Macaca mulatta: one gene and its partners. The protein of the gene in region 3 purifies or fractionates together with the protein of the main gene of each other region. This does not show direct contact. Links are inferred from orthologs where the notes say so. Each region holds a gene or a part of one and is shown on either strand. Other genes may lie near its edges.

The links. The genes of interacting proteins can lie anywhere in the genome.
Region 1: the proteins of VDAC2 (region 3) and RAB7A purify together in Homo sapiens (affinity purification with mass spectrometry; 3 studies listed by BioGRID and IntAct, with this or other methods). This does not show direct contact. The link is inferred for Macaca mulatta from reciprocal best matches to the Homo sapiens genes VDAC2 and RAB7A.
Region 2: the proteins of VDAC2 (region 3) and FAM162A fractionate together in Homo sapiens (co-fractionation; 3 studies listed by BioGRID and IntAct, with this or other methods). This does not show direct contact. The link is inferred for Macaca mulatta from reciprocal best matches to the Homo sapiens genes VDAC2 and FAM162A.

Annotation. Positions count from the first base shown.
Region 1 is NC_133407.1:155,227,571-155,233,621, forward strand, and holds the start of RAB7A (ras-related protein Rab-7a), read right to left. Parts: upstream 3,429-6,051; 5' UTR 3,252-3,428; intron 1-3,251.
Region 2 is NC_133407.1:161,379,886-161,386,159, reverse strand, and holds the start of FAM162A (protein FAM162A), read left to right. Parts: upstream 1-2,846; coding exon 2,847-2,880; exon of another isoform or gene 2,881-2,899; coding exon of another isoform or gene 2,900-2,906; intron 2,907-6,006; coding exon of another isoform or gene 6,007-6,058; intron 6,059-6,274. Other genes in the region: protein MIX23, read right to left, coding at 1,761-1,811. UniProt on the Homo sapiens protein: Proposed to be involved in regulation of apoptosis; the exact mechanism may differ between cell types/tissues.
Region 3 is NC_133414.1:74,375,339-74,380,069, reverse strand, and holds the end of VDAC2 (non-selective voltage-gated ion channel VDAC2), read left to right. Parts: intron 1-2,463; exon of another isoform or gene 2,464-2,601; coding exon 2,602-2,659; exon of another isoform or gene 2,660-3,627; coding exon of another isoform or gene 3,628-3,672; intron 3,673-3,746; coding exon 3,747-3,838; 3' UTR 3,839-4,231; downstream 4,232-4,731. UniProt on the Homo sapiens protein: Non-selective voltage-gated ion channel that mediates the transport of anions and cations through the mitochondrion outer membrane and plasma membrane.

The DNA.
Region 1 (6,051 bases), on a different chromosome or scaffold from region 3:
TCTTTGAAGACGTATTAAAAGCTAATCAAATAACCAAAATTTTTTGGCTTCACTTGGCAGTGGGGTCAGAAAACTGATTCAAAGCCACACTTTACTATAAAGCGTTGTTCTCTGATACAGGTTTTGTGAGCTTAGACACAGTTGGCATCAAAAAAAATACGAAAAAAAGGCCGGGCACGGTGGCTCAAGCCTGTAATCCCAGCACTTTGGGAGGCCGAGGCGGGTGGATCACGAGGTCAGGAGATCGAGACCATCCTGGCTAACATGGTGAAACCCCGTCTCTACTAAAAATACAAAAAACTAGCCGGGCGTGGTGGCGGGCGCCTGTAGTCCCAGCTACTCGGAGGCTGAGGCGGGAGAATGGCGTGAACCCGGGAGGTAGAGCTTGCAGTGAGCCGAGATCGCGCCACTGCACTCCAGCCTGGGTGACAGAGCGAGACTCCATCTCAAAACAAAAACAAAAACAAAAACAAAAACAAAAACGAAAAAAAAAATTGCCCCACGTGGTTGCTAACTACCTAGAAGGATATACTAATAAAACTATTTTTAGAGTATCTTCTACATTCCACCCTCTGTTTACTCATGCAGTTCTACCACAAATGCAAAATCCAAATCTTCTCTTGAAGCGAACCTAGAAAGTTTGTGGGAGATAGGGTAGCACAGCTTTTCTATGTAGAATGGTACTGAAACTATGGCCGACACAATATCAGTGCTACATTAAACTTTCTTGCCAGCTGAAGAAAAAAATCCAGTATGCCAAATGTCCAAATGTACCTTTGCTCAAAGACACTGCAGTGCAAGGTAATGGTAGTGACATGGACTACTTCTCGAGTGAACCAAAAAAATGCCACTAGAGTCGGCCGGACGCAGTGGCTCATGCCTGTAATCCCAGTACTTTGGGAGGCCAAGGCAGGCAGATCACCTGAGGTAGGGAGTTCGAGACCAGCCTGACCAACATGGAGAAACCCTGTCTCTATTAAAAATACAAAATTAGCCGGGCATGGTGGCACATGCCTGTAATCCCAGCCACTCGGGAGGCTGAGGCAGGAGAATGGCTTGAACCCGGGAGGCAGAGGTTGCAGTGAGCTGAGATCGCGCTATTGCACTCCAGCCTGGGCAACAAGAGAGAAACTCCGTGTCAAAAAATAAATAAAATAAAACAAATGCCACCAGAGCAAAAGGAGAAACAAGTAGAGTGTTGAAGGTTACTCTTTAAAAGATGTGATAAATTAGAAACTGTAATATTATCTTCTACACTCTCTGAAGAGCATACAAATGCTGTTGTTAAAATTAACAAAGCCTTAAAGTTAGCCAGAACACCATCCTTTGGATTACTACGGATTCATCAGCAGAAATGAGAAATAACTCTTTCCAAAAAGCCTCAAGTTCTACCACCAAATCATTCCACAATAGAATTTCTGGCCAAGATCATTCACCTTTTAAAAATTCCCTGAGGACAGGAACCATGCCTATCTCCCTGAGTCAACATCCCACAACGCCTGATACATTGCTGATACTCAATGGATACTCAAAATACTTCATGAATGAATAAAAAGGTGCCTATCATTACTCTCCTCTAAACTCAAACATTATATAAAGCTACAGTACTTATTACTCACTTAAATATTTTAGGCTGGGTAGCAAAGGTAAAAAAAAAAAAAAAAAAGACAAATTTGAATACAACAGGATTGTGAACGCTAAGCTTTAACTTAGCCAGTCCCTTCAGGAGAAGCACTCCTAACTCACCTTCCAGTTCTTAAATCCAAATCTGAACAAACCTTCCCAGGTTTGAAGAGAGAAACACACTAAGAGGAGACTTTATTAATCCATGGATGAGAAATCATGTGCCTCATCAGCTGCTTAAGTCACAAGAAAGAGACAAGAGCCTGTTCTTTAGGAAACCAAAGATGCAGTATTTTGAATAGGGAAGAACCAACTGGCTGGACAGCCATCAACTAAGGTTGTAAGAAAGGTTCGCTAGGCAGCTTTGCCAGGCCTACCTGCAAAATTTTTCAAACCTCAGTTAAGTACCCCGCCAGTATTCAAGAGCTCCTAATTCAACTACACTACAATATGTGTGATAAGTCGCAAACGGCATTTCTTATGGCTTTAAGAGAGAACTGATGCTACCAGAAAGACTTTCAAACGACATCAACAGAAAGAAAGGAGGTGGTGGAAGGCAGTGAGGTACAGATACCAGGTGGCAAAAGATAAACCACAAGCTTTAGGGGCACGTGAAAGCAGTATAACCTACAAATTGAATAAAGTGCTCTGGAGTCTGACTGCCTGGGCTTGCATCTTTGCTTCGTAACTTAGCTGTGTGACCTTGGTCAAATGGTTTAGCCTCTCTGTTCAATTTCCCACTGTGTTAAGTGGGCACAACAGTGGTACTTTAGAGGGTTGTTCAAAGAACTAAACATAATGATCTGTTAAAAGGTCTTGCCACGCTGCCTAGCATATAACAAACGCTCAAATATTTGCTGTCAGTATTCTCAATATTCCCCTTATGACCCATTAGGTATCAAGCGTAAAATGAATGCAGAAAGAGGCCCCCAACACGGTCCGAATGGAAACACAACTCTACATCCAACTACCATCTTTCCCCGACTAAGTTGAAAAACTTCTCTCAGGATTTACCGTAACATGCCTAGGACAAAAAGCTCCCTGTCTCCCAGCGCCAGAGGCGCCTCAATGTACACAAGTGTTGAGGCGATCCCAGCGCACGTGACCTGACTCACGCCTTGACTCAGTTGCCGTCAGGGAACCTCTCCCACTAACAGGGTCAGGCTGTTCAACTGAAGAGCCGGAAGGGAACGCGGCTCGGCCCCCAGCGCCTGTGACCCATGCCCGCCAGGTGGGCACGGCGGCGGGCGGCGTGGGCTCTGACACCCTCCTGCTCGCCACGCTAAATAACTCCACCGCCTAGCGCGTCCTGCCGCGGCGCAGGGCAGTCCAAGTCAATGAACCCTCTTGGGTCTCTGAGATCGACGCCAACAGTAAACAGAGCGTCCGAGACCGGCGGCCGGGGCCGGCAACCCGGCCAGAGGTCACGCCCGACGACCTCCGACCTCTCCAACCCGGGTGGGGTCCTGGCCTGCTTCGTGGGCCTGAGCGATGCCGAGTTTGCCCGCGAGGCCAGGGCTGGGCCTGGAGCCTGCCAGGAGGACAGGGAGGACGCGAGGCCCTGGCGACCGAGGAGTTGAGGAGGGGGATGGGGCCAGGCCGCCGGCCGGGCTGGGCCCGCTGCTTACCGCGGCCTCTGCGCTGGGGGCTCTGGGCCGGGCGCGTCGCGAGGGCTCCCGCCGAGGAGGAGACTCAACGGAGGACAGAAGAGGGGAGGTCCAAGTTCTGGTTCCAGGGAACTCTGCTGAGCTCTCCAAGCCGCCAACTCCGCCGCTGCCGCCGCCTCAGGCTTTATGGCCAAGACTCCAGGCCCGCTCCCACTTCCGCCACTGCCGCCGCCCCGAGCGGAAGTACCTGTCACGAGACGCTCGACGCCGGGGTGCGGAGGAGGAGCCCCGCCTCAACCTTGAGTCACGTTCCGGCTGCCTTGGGACAGAGCCTGGATCACGTGCTACAAACATGTCTGCTCCCAAACGGTTGTCCCCATCTTTGAGGCTTGTACAAGGAGCAGGACGGCGCCATGTTGGACCCACAGACAGATTCCCTCAGCCATCCCTCCTTGCTCCAGAATAAAGAATGCCACCGAAGAGAGGTCAAGGGGTAAACTGGCCATTCCAATTGTGTCCTTCTTCGGAAGGCATCATTTATCCTTACTTTAACTACCTAACCAAAAATTATTATCACCATTTTACAAATAAGGAACTGAGACCGAACATATCAGGTCACTTGGTCTAGCTCAACACAGAAACTGGTGGAGCAGGGTTTTGAACCAAGGTCTGTCTGATGCCAATGTGTGTTATCGTTCTAGTAGACTGCAAATGACTACAGCAATTGTGTGACTCAGTAATAGAGACAGGAGAAATAGACACTTTGGCAGAGGAGACAGCACGAGAAAATGGAAAATGAGCTAAAGCCTCTCTGAACTTAGTATTAAAGAAGATGTGATAAAGATGGACCTGGTAGAACTCTTCTTGTAAGCACAGAGCAGCCTCCCAAGCACCAGCCCCATCTGAACACATCAGGATCCACTCAGAACTTTTGTCTCCATCTTTAACAATGCCCTCTAATAGTCTTTTCTTATTTGGTTCATGCAAACTCCATTCTTTCAATTGTTCCATCCAAAAACCTTGCAATTGTTACAGTAAGTAAGTAGTTAGACCTGAGCAGGGCAGGAGTGGGGCCACTCCCCCACCAGCAATGTGAGGCAACCATGACGTGGTGGTCAGATTAAGCTATCTCTCTAAAATAATAATTGGTTGCAGTCAGAACCAGGGAAAGAGTCTCCCAATAGATAAAAACACCTAAAACTGGTGATCAGCAGCTTCCCATTGAGATCTCAGAAGTTGAGGGGTCTGGGGAAAAAAAAAAAAAAAAAAAAAAACCTCAAAATCTAGGCAAGCAGTCCCAACCCTGAGATGGCACAATGTCTGGGGTTTCCCCTACTTTTTCAGCTAAAATTGGCTCTTTCCGCAAAACCCTCGCTACCTATTCTCCTGTTTTCTCTATGTGTATTCTGAAATGGCCTTGCACACTGCAGGACCATCAGCTTCTGGGGTAAGTCTACTTTTCTCTGCTTTCACTTTGCATGTGCCCAGGAGTTCGAGACCAGCTTGGGCAACATAACAAGACTGTCTCTTCCAAGATAAATAAAAAAGAAAGGAGAAGGCACACATCTACATCAGACTTTTGCAGTTGTACTTCTCTCTACCTGGAAAGCTCTTCCTCCAGGTATCTGCTTGGCCACTCGCTCACTTTCCTCTGGTCTTGACTTTAAAGTGACCTTTTCAGTGAAATAGCCTTCCCTATTTAAAACTGAAGTCCCTCTCTCTGTCACCACAACATAAACACAAAAATTGCCATCTCCCTACGGCTTTTCTCCTTTTTTTTTTTCTTTTCTTTTCTTTTTTTCTTTTTTTGAGACAAGGTCTTGCTCTGTTGCCGGTGCTGGAGTGCAGTGGCATAATCAGGGCCTACTGCAGCCTTGAACTTCTGGGCTCAAGTGATCCTCCTGTCTCAGCCTCCTGAGTAGCCACAGGCATACACCACTATGGCTTGCTAATTTTTTTTTTTTTTTTTTTTTTTTTTTGTAAAGAGAAGGTCTTGAACTCCTGGTGTCAAGTAATCCTCCCGACTCAGCCTCCCAAAGTTTTTCCTCTTATATTACTCACTTATTTGCATATTTTCTGCCTTCCCCACTAGAATGGCAGGTCCATAAGGCAGCTATTTTTGTCTATCTCATTCACTGCGATATCCCTGATTCTTAAAACAGTGTTAGGGTACAGTAGGTGCTCAATGTGTAGAATTTACAAAGTATTCAGGGGAATGAAAACTGAGAATAGTTTCAAAGGCCAAGAGTTATGATAATTCCACCCCATTCGGTAGCCAATCAAAATGCTAGGTTTGAAGATAAAGTAGCAACTGGGAATGCAGTAGTCCTTATCCCCAGGTCTGGCAGGGCTGACTGCAGGATTTGAGCATCTGAGTCCTAGAACCAATCCACCGCAAATAGCAAGGGACAATTATACCAGAAAAGGCAGAGCACAAAAATAAAATGGGACATGTGGGCCCCAGCCTTCTAAGAAGCCTTCTGAGAAGGCTATTCAGATGCAAACATGGGCTATTTCCTATGGGAAAGAAAGGACGACTTAAAAGAAACCCATGAGCCAGAAGGATAGAGCCAGGAGCTGCAGGTAATCATTCCCAAGGAGCAGTAGAGGACTCAATCAAGGAACTGGCATCACGTGCCTTGCTGGATTTCAGAATTACTATGACCCAGTGGCAGCTGTCAGTCCTGTTTTTTCCCCTTTTGAACAAAAGTGTCTACTGTGCTTATCTTCCGCTTGCCAACTCTGTATGCTGGGTCCGTGGAGAGGAGATAACGTCTCTAGCTCATAGGCCTTCAGAGAAACAGTGCTCAGAGCTGTTCTT
Region 2 (6,274 bases), on a different chromosome or scaffold from region 3:
AAAGGTTAAATAGAGGTCATAAGGGTGGGGCCCTAATCCAACAGAACTGATGTCCCTATAAGAAGAGGAAGAGATAGGCTGGGCGCCATGGCTCACACCTGTAATCCCAGCATTTTGGGAGGCCAAGGGGGATGTGGATCACCTGAGGTCTGGAGTTTGAGACCAGCCTGGTCAACATGGTGAAACCCCGTCTCTACTAAAAATACAAAAACTAACTGGGCGTGGTAGGGGCATCTGTAATCCCAGCTATGGAGGTGGAGGTTGGAGTGAGCCAAGATCGTGCCACTGCACTCCAGCCTGGGGCACACAGCGAGACTGTCTCAAAAAAAAAAAAAAAAAAGAAGAGGAAGAGATACCAGAGATCCTTCTCCTTCCATGTGCAGGCACAGAGAAGAGATAGTGACATAGAGAAGACATGGTGAGAAAGCAGCCATTTACAAGCCAGGAAGAGAGGCCTTACTATAACTAATTGTGATGGCACTTTTCCCCCCTTAAATCAAACTGTGTAGCCTAGAAACTGATGGCAGCTTAATCTTGGACTTCTAGTCTCCAGAACTGTGAAAAAATAAATCTCTACTGTTTAAGCCACCTAGTTTGTGGTATTTTGTTATGGCAGCCCTAGCAGACTAATACAGTATCCAATAAATTCTTGAATGCGTGCTAAAATGGGATTCTAGGCACTCGATTTTAAACACTCTTTTCTGGATTTTATTTCAATTTGGAAATAGGATATTTTCCAGATGTACTAAATCTAATTTTTGTAATGAAAATATAAGAATTGCAAAAATTTAAAACACTTTAGGCCGGGCGTGGTGCCTCATGCCGGTAATCCCAACACTTTGGGAGGATGAGGCAGGAACATTATTTGGTGAGACACTGTCTTACAAAATTTCTTTTAAAAAATTACCCGGGCGTGGTGACACGTGCCTGTAGTCCTTGCTACAGGGAGGCTGAGGCAGTATTCAAGAATACCACTACCTTCAAACCGTTCAAAGTACAAAGCTTACTACAGATAGGTCAATTTTTCAGTATCTTGGGTTAGTTAATGCAATACATACTTAAGATCATGATTTTGGAATTCAACTTTGTAACTAAACAGAAGCACACTTATGACTGAATTGGAACAGATAACTTTAATGGCAACTTGGTCAAAACCAGATCCCTATTCTTTAATTCACGGGTTAATAATTAGCCCTAGATCTCTGATATTTGAACATAAAAAGGCAGAACCTTTAAATATAACATCTTTTCTAATGGGCAATGACACTAGAGCAGGTACTAGAATTAATCCTCCCTCCAAGCTTCCATACGTTCTGTCCCACAAAAATAGTAAATTGTACCAAGTGTTTGTTTTATCAACTAAATAACTCTACTTCACTTTTTTCTCTCCCACAAAAACTCTACTTAGAAAAGTACGAGACGAATGGCAGAAGCTGGAAACTGAGTTCAGGGAACTGCTACAAGATTGTTACAATTCTTATCCACGGATCCCGAGCTTTACCACCGCGGATTACCCAGAGCTTCCCACTCAAGGCCTGTGAGCCGCGGAGAGAACTATGATCCCCCTCCTCCCTCCTCCTACAGAGCAGCCTTGCTCCCTAAGGCCAAACCCATGCCCCCCATGACCTCCAATGGCTCTACAAAAGAGCTTTGAATTGCCCGCTTTTTCCAAAGCTGGTTCATACTCCCTCGCAAAGCAGGGAATAGGGTCTGGGGACAAAAGGAGGGACATGCCTGCCACATGAGGAAAACCCCATCACCTGGAACTCGGCGAACTCCTCACAGTTCACACCGCCACTGGGCGCCGCCATATTGGACAAACACGAGGACCCCGCTGCAGGCCAATCACCGCGGAGCAAAGGTGACCGCGGAGCCGCCTGACAAAAAATATAGCATGAGGGGAATCCTTAGGAAAGCTGAGTGCAAGACTTGACTTCTACGTGGTCCGCATCCACCTCGAAACCTGTCACCCTGCTGTCCTAACCCCTTTAACATGCCCTCCTGGAACTGGGCCAGATGCATGGATCAAAGATTGTCAGAACTTGAAGGGGCTGTTTACTCCAATCTCATCTTCACAAAAGGGAAACAATTTCCTTGTCGTTCCCCTACCAGGTCGTTGAAAGAAATCTAGGCAAGTGAGGCCTAATACCTCTCACTCCAGTGCCTATCTTCCTCCCTCGACCCTGGAGCAGAAGGGTCTTTGTTCAGAATTTGGGACCACTAAGAAACGTCAAAGAAAAAACGGCATTTCTGGCAGAGTGGGTGGGTATGAGTAAGGTGTTTAGGATGGAGATGATCAAATGTTTTTAGAAAATAGGTAAATAGAAAACAAATTGAAAACATACACGTTAATTTCTCAGATTTGCCTGAGGGATGCTCCAAAGCCAAAAGGTCACTGAGCACTGAGTCTAATTACGTGTTTTCTGATAAAAGCGTATGTTCATTGAAAACACTGGAAGAGCGGCATACTGGAATACTGGTTTATCTGGTGTATTTCGGGCGTTTACAGCTCACGAAAGTTGCACTTTTCCCTTCTATTTCACACAGGTCCTTCCATGGATGCATATCCGCTAGGGCAAGAACCCACGGCGCCACACTCCACAAGACCATTTCCAAAACTGGCTCGGAACGCGGCGCCAGGGGCACTAGGCTGGCGCCGCCGGTCTCCAGCGCGTCGCGCACGTCCTGCACGCCCCGCACTGGCGCATGCCGGTCCACAGCGTCGCGCACGCCCCACCCCCTGCGCCGCCTGCGTCCTTCCCTCTCCAGCACTGGGTGACATTGAGCTCACTAGCGCCGCCGTCCCCGGCGAAGTTCTGCGCTGGTCGGCGGAGTAGTAGGTGGCCATGGGGACCCTCCGCGGTCTGCTCCTGGCAGCGGGTGAGACGCCGGTCGGGCTATGGGAGGTAGGGCAGCTGGCCCGGCCGCTGCGGGTGGGGGAATCCTGAAGCCTTCCTAGGCCCCAGAGTGGCTCCATTCCATGACGCACTTTCTCGGTTGCTCGGAATCCTGCCTCCTTAGTGTCAGTGTGGGAGAGAACTAGGTGAGCAGCTACTGATAGACATTGGAGACTGCCCGTGAGTTACCCTCATCTCCATCCACTCAGCTCCCACCAATTTAACTGCCCACGTGCCTACCCTTCTCCCCACCCCAGTCCTCAGACTCCCCTGAGCTCAGTCTGTGAAACACCTACTATCCCTAGACTTCCCTTTTACCCATTCATTCAGCTTTCCACCCTAACCACCCCTATCTGTTGCTCTACTTGAGTCTTCCCTCTTCCCTGCCCCTTCCTCTCTGGAGTTTATCCCAGAAAACCTCCAGTCTGAAGTTTCCCCACTCATTAAATGTCTGATTAGGCCAAGGATTTAGGTCTTACAGATTAATAATAATTATTTTCTTAAAATGGAGGATACATTACTTTTAAACACTTATACAATTAATTGATTCGAATTTCTTGGAGGAAAGTGTGTAATTGAAGGATCTGCAGTTTGTTTTGGTGGTAGACATTTGTGTGATGACTGTTTTGGACTTAGGTAATGAAAACTCTTGGGAGGACCAGCAGAGCCTTGGCATAGTAGGGGTTGAGAAATCAGAGGGCTTGCATTTTGCCTCTTTTCTAGGTACCAGAGATCTTTTGTTCAATGGCGCTACATTATTAAAAAGTTGTTAATTCAATTTTTAAAGGAAAAATAGCCCCAAACTTGGCTATTCAAATAATATAAATGTATATTGTAAATGTAAATGAAATAATGCAAAAAAAAAAGTGAATGTTGCATAGTTTCACAAGTTTGGTATATAACCCTCCCCACCCCAAGGTTATCCTTTACACAGCTTATCTGATGTTCCAGTGGAGAATGGACTGGAAAACATGTCTCAAACTAAGGAGTATTATTATATTTGCTTCCTTTAAAAGCAAACACTTTCTCCACTAAAATCCTCAGTACTATGATTGATTTTATTGATTTTGTCAGTTTTGTTGAACTAATTCACCTAAAATATCTTCTGTACATCATATTAACCATTATAAAGCTTTTCAACAAGGCAAGTGAAAGGATCGTTGCTCTGTAAAAAAGTTAAAATGGACTGCAGGAAAAGAACTTTGACATCTTGGAACTAATACTGAGTGTATTGTAAGTAGTTCACCTTCTTGCTTTGATAGTATATTTATGCATCTTGAAAATTCCAAAGCCTCTCTGCAAACTTCTGATATGTGAAAACTTCACTATTGACCACTTAACCAAAGCAGAATTCCTTGAGTGGTTTAAGAACAAGTTATTTTACTTCAGATATAAAATGTTTAATAGCACACTAAGGATGTTATATGAGCAGCTCTCTCCATATGATCTTCCACGAATATCTGATGCTTTGTGAGCAACTCCAGAACAACCTACTGCCTTTCACCCACTTCCTAGCTAAACACTTTCATATACATTATTTTGTTGGATGGATTTCTCATAGCAGCCCTCTCAGGTGAGTCTTACTCCTCCCACACTTTATAAGTGAAGAAACATAGGTTAGAGATGACTTGTCCAGGATCACTTTGCCAGCAAATGTTAGAGCCAGGATAGGAGTCGGTACCCTCTAATTCTGGAATTTTTGTGCTTTTTGCTGTTGTTCAAACTGTTCATTCAGGGGCTGTGCGTGTATGAATTTGTCATGACTAATTGGGTCTCAATCTGAAATGAAAGAGTCATGAAATGCAGATTTAGTTCTGAAATGCAAGTACATCTTCATGTGCAAATGGCTTTTCAAGAAAGAAGACTGATTTAATAAGCAGCCTTAGCCAAAGGAATGATAGATCAAATAGAAATGTAGGCCCAGTGTGGTGGCTCACGCCTGCCATCCCAGCACTTTGGGAGGCTGATACCGGAGGATTGCTTGAGACCAGGAGTTTGAGACCAACCTGGCTAACTTAGCAAGAGCCTGTCTCTCCGAAAAGCTTTTACAAATCAGCTGGGCATGGTGGCTCAAACCCGTGGTCTCAGCTACTCAGGAAGCTGAGGCAAGAAGATCACTTGAGCCCAGAAGTTTGAGGCTGCATTGGGCTATAATACAGTCATGCTACCACACTCCAGTCTGGGCAACAGAGTGAGACCCTGTCTCTGGGGAAAAAAAAAAAAAAGCATAATCTAGGCGTCCCTTATTTATCCAGAATATTTGGAATAAGATTCTCTACATAAGTGAAATTTCAGATGATCAAAACTTAACCTTATAAATGACGGACCTTTACTTTTGTTTCTGTTGGCAATCTTTGGTATACTCCCTTAGCAAACAATATAGCAAACATAATATAGGCTTTTATGAGCTCGAATTTGTTATTTTGTAGATGTAGTTGTAGATACAGATCAGGGTTGTTAAGTTGTGGTACTGGACACTTCCATGTTTGAGAGGTCCTGTGAACTTCTCAAATTTTTATGATTGTGTACCATTTTTGAGAGAGAGGGTCCATAACTTGTATCTGCTACTCAGAGCAGTTCATGCTCTTTAAGTTAAAAAGCACTGATACAGATGATTAGGAACTAAATGGCCATTTACCCACACTATGCTGGGTTTCATGAGGGTAAACACTAGATCTGTTTTGTTTTTACTCAATCCTTACCACTTACTGGTGTTCAGCTCATAGTAGACAGGCAATGCATATTTTTTGGACGAAGGACGCTAGGACATATCTTGGAACATGCTGCAAATATAAGGTGAGTTTTCACACCTCTTTTCTCCTGAAAGAATAAAATAGATATAACTTTTAGGATATTGTATCTTTCTACAGAATGATTATTAGTTCAAAGGAATAGAATGACCTTACAAGAATGTTTCTTCTTGAAAGAAAGTTTTGCTGCCCTAAACTCTGTTGACTGGTCAGATTTGAAAATGAATTTATTATCGTCATTATTGTTACCAATGTAATGGACTATGGGCTGCCTTCCTTTTAGTTTAACTGACATTTCAGAGCATTAGAGTAGAGAGATATCTTAGAATTCAGGTAATCTAGTCCTCTAATTTTTACAGATGAGGAAACTTAAGGGCCAAGAAGGGAATCGGCTTGCTAAGGATCACACAGGTACAGACCTGGGACATAGCCAATATCCCCTGGCTCCCATTCTGATTTTATTTCTATCACATTCTGCTACCTTATTGTTCTGTTTGTTCTTGCTAACCAACCTTAAATGAGAACATACCCATTTTAACTACCCCCACCTTTGGCTTTGCTCATTGCTCCTCTCCAGGTCTTACCAAGTATTTATTGAGTACACAATGAATGCCTTGTATGTATATT
Region 3 (4,731 bases):
ACTGAGTTCAGGGGGCCTTCAGGAAGGTAAACAATAATACATTCATGTTATGGGAGGATGGGGCACCCCAGCTTCACAGGGATGGAAGCTCCTGTGCTTGGGACCCTTCCAGACCTCACCTATAAAGGAAAAGATACATAAATATCTTCATCTGGCTGTTCATTTACATCCTTTAAAATATCCTATATAACTGGTAAATGTTTCCCTGAGTTCTCTGTGCCACTCTGGGAAATTGAACCCCAGGGACTTGTGGGAACCCCGATTTATAACCAGTCTGTAAGAAACAGGCAAAACAACCTGGAACTTTCAATTGGCATTGAAAATGAGGGCGGGGCAGTTTTATGAAACTGAGCGCTGAACCTGTGTGTGATCCAATGCTCTCTCTCCAGGTAGATAGTATCAGAATCGAATTAGAGAACATCTAGCTGGAATCTGCTGCAGAATTGTTTGCTTGATGTGTGGGAAATTCTCCCTAGGCCTTGTGAGAGTATAGAGGGAGAAACTGAGTTTATTTTTTCTACTCCTTATCACAGTTTCATGGTTTAACTCCTACTGTTAAATAATAGGAATTTCTTTTTTTTTTTCTTTTCTTTTTTTTTTTTTTTTTTGAGACAGAGTCTCACTTTGTCGCCCTGGCTGGAGTGCAGTGGTGCGATCTCTGCTCACTGCAACCTCTGCCACCCGGATTCAAGCGATTCTCCTGCTTCAGCTCCCCGAGTAGCTGGGATTACAGGCACCTGCCACTGTGCCTGGCTAATTTTTATAGTTTTAGTAGAGATGGGGTTTCACCATCTTGGCCAGGCTAGTCTTGAACTCCTGACCTCGTGATCCTCCCAAAGTGCTGGGATTACAGGCGTGAGCCACTGAGTCTGGCCAATAGTAGGAATTTCTTCTTTTTTTTTTTTTGAGACGGGAGTCCCACTCTGTCGCCGAGGCTAGAGTGCAGTGGCGCAATCTCAGCTCACTGCAACCTCTGCCTTCCGGGTACACGCCCCGGCTAATTTTTTCTATTTTTAGTAGAGACAGGGTTTCACCGTGTTAGCGAGGATGGTCTCGATCTCCTGACCTTGTGATCTGCCCGCCTTGGCCTCCCAAAGTGCTGGGATTACAGGTGTGAACCATTGCGCCCGGCCAATAATAGGAATGTCTGTTCAGCTGTCTGAGGCTCTTATTTGTAGGGCACAGGATGGTCATTAATGAGGTATTTTTTTTTTCTTTTCTTTTTCTTTTTTTTTTTCTTTTTTTTTGCTTTGTGTTGCCTAGGCTGGAGTTCACTAGTGCAACCACAGCTCACTGTACCCTCAGCCACCCGGGCTTAAGAGATCCTTCCATCTCACTCCCGCTTCCCCGATAGTTGGGTAGGTGTGCACCATCATGCCAAGCTAGAAAAATTTTGTACAGACAGACAGGGGTCTCACTGTGTTGCTCAGACTGTTGTTGAATTCCTGGGCTCAAGTGATCCTCCCGCCTTGGCCCCCAAAGTGCTGGGATTACTGGTGTCAGTCACTGCACCAGGCCTGTTTTTTTAGATGGTCATTGGTAGCTCATGAATATTTGGCTGTAGTGCCAAGTGAATACAGGTGTTGTGGATGTGGTTTGTATCTGTATAGTTACATCATTTCTTTCTCTGGATTGGGCTCTTTGGATGTTACACATTATAAGACTATAGACATCAAATCATTTGGAGATCTGTTTTGGTCACATAGGCTGTTTGTTACCTTTATACAGTAGCCCTCATAATGCTGAAAGCAAAGCAAAGTTGCGTATCTAGGCAACCTATGCCCTGGAAATGAAGGGAGGTGTTCCTGGCCTCTGGTGTGGCTTCATAGTGTTAGGGGTGGTAGAGAATGGAACTAGAAGGAATCTACTCCTTACTATGTCATACTCTTCAGGGTTCCTTCCAGCCCTTGAAGTCTGTAAGTCCTGAAATGTTAGGATTGTGCAAGGAAGGCAGGGGCCTGGATTGGTACATGATACCTCACTGGGACCTCCTCCCAAGCACAGTGGTTACATACAGCCAGAACTCAGCAGCACTGGCATTCATGAGAGGTGTGAGAATGTGAGGATAAAGGATTGTTTGATCTGATTCTTCAGAGGAATTACTTGTTTGGAGATTTTTTTTTTTTTTTTAACATTGATGGTTTTGGTTCTTTAGGAAGAGTCCTGAAAGTAGGAAAGTTTACATGTGTGTAACTAAGTCATGAATTTAAACTTGATACCCTGCACTTTAAGGCTGCTGTGTGTCACCTCTAGTGAGCCTGATTTGTACCACATTTGGTCTGGTTTTGTTGTGCTAGACTAGAATCGACAAAGATGATTTTTATGAGAGTGCTTAGGCTCTTGTGCTGTACGGACAGTTTGGGGTCTTTGGATACATTCCAGTGGCTATCAGGAGTATCGTGTCCTACTGACAATTTGATTTTTGAGTTGAATGGATATGAATTAAGTAGTACCTGATTTCTGTTTGGCTTAATACATAATGAATTTTATTGTCTCGTGAATAAAACTGAACACTTCACGACTACATGATGGGGAAACATGTAGGGGGCTTTGTCCCTACTGAAATATTTTTCTTACAGTTGTTTTTGAATTTTATTTTAGGCAAAAGTCAACAACTCTAGCTTAATTGGAGTAGGCTACACTCAGACTCTGAGGCCTGGTAAGTATTCTTGATAAAGTAGGATTGTTTTGATATTAAAAAAATTAGTTTTCATTCTTCAGCTTATTTTTCAGACCTTTCAAGCACACAGAAGAGTTGAAAGAAGAGTACAATAAATACATGTTTACCTTTTGCCACAACTCTCTTTCTTTCCTTCCTTTCTTTTTGTTTCTTTTCCTTTCTTTCTTTCCCTCCCTCCGTTCCTTCCTTCCTTTCTCTTTCTTTCTCTCTCTCTCTCTCTAAAATAAAAGTAATTTTTATTTTGTTGATAAAAGTTCACTCATTGCTTTGGTTCTGTCTATAGTCTTGTTGACTTTATATAATATTTTGAAGCATGCTGTGTCTAGAGCAGCATTTCTCCAACTTCACAATGCACATGACTCATCTTGGAGTCTGGTTAAAGTACTGGGGACTTTCCCCCCTCCAAATAGGGATTTTCCTTCCCAAAGTTTATTTTGGCGATTTTGAAACCTAAAGAAAAGTTGGAAGAATGGTACAGTGAACATCATATACCCTTACCCTATGTTGACCAGTTATTAAAATTTACAGCATTTATGTCTCTGAAACTTCACATACTTTTTTTAAAAAACTGTATGTTTTGCAGACATACAGACACGGCAGCTCCTAGCATGTGTATCCTAAGAGTAAGACATTTTTCTTTATAAGCACAATACCATTATCGCATCTAAGAAAACTAACATTAATGTAATACCAAATATATATTCAGATTTACCCCGTCCCCAAATGTGTCTTTATTGTAGGTTTCCCTTTCTAGGATCTAATTATGATTATGTCTCTAGTCTCTCTTCATCTGGATAGTATACTCAACATTATTGTATATTCTAGAGCACTTTGAACTTGTTATTAAAACATTTCTCTGTGACTTGGTGCCTTACCTAGAATGGTAACCCAGTCCTTCTGGTGTCTCAGATACTTCCAAGCGCCCTCTGGTGGCCAGCACTAGTAGGTCAGCTGACAGGCTGAGGAAGTGACAGGCAGGCTTCTGGGGATGACTGTGAAAGAAGGCTCAGACTGAGTGAAGTGCCAGGTACATCACAGTGTTTTGTTTTTGTGTTTGTCTTAATAGGTGTGAAGCTTACACTCTCTGCTCTGGTAGACGGAAAGAGCATTAATGCTGGAGGTCACAAGCTTGGGCTCGCCCTGGAGTTGGAGGCTTAATCCAGCTGAAAGATACCTTTGGGAATGGATATCAGAAGATTTGGCCTTAATATATTTCCATTGTGACCAGCAGCAGGCTTTTTTTCCCCCAAGAAGATGATCAAAACAAAGAATGATCTCAACAAGAGCTGTATTTTAAGTATTTAGACAGTTCCTTGTTAGCTGGTTTCTAGTTGAATTGGTTATCTAGTTACCAATGCTGCAGTCCTGCAGTCACCTATACATTATTTAAATGTATTTAACTGTTAAATGCGCTACCCACCAATAATGAAATAGACCTTTATGAAAACTGTGCAATTGTGTGCATGTTTGTTTTTATGTTCCTTTAGAAAACATTGACTATTACCATTGAATGAGATGGATCAGTGGATATTGAGATGAGGTTAAAAATTTTGTTAAGTTCAGCCATTATTACTTTTGGTATCCCAGAACATGACAAATTATGAATAAAACAAGTATACATAATTAATGGCTCCAAGTATTTGCAGAGTTCCATGTTTGCCAGCTAGGGTCAAATCTCCGTGGTAGCTAGCCAGTATTTAATTTTTCCAGTGAGTATTTTGCTCTTTACTTAAATCTGTGCCACAGAATCTTCTGTGTCCCTAGAATAATTCCACGAGCTTTTTAAGACTACAGTAAGAGGATACATGCTTTTATACTCTTCAGTTTGTAAGTCTGTGCAGAATTGCCCTGCATAACTGAAAGGAAAAAGAAGGTGCTGAAAAGATACACAAACACACCATACCCCTGTGAGCTACTGCTAGGAAAATAAAGTAGGCCCTGGTTTGGTGCGATGGTGTTAGGCGTACAGAAGAGTAAGTTGTAGACAGTAAGGGTAACCTGTGGGACTCTGAGAGATCATTACTCATTTCCTTCTAGGCAGACATTGAAAG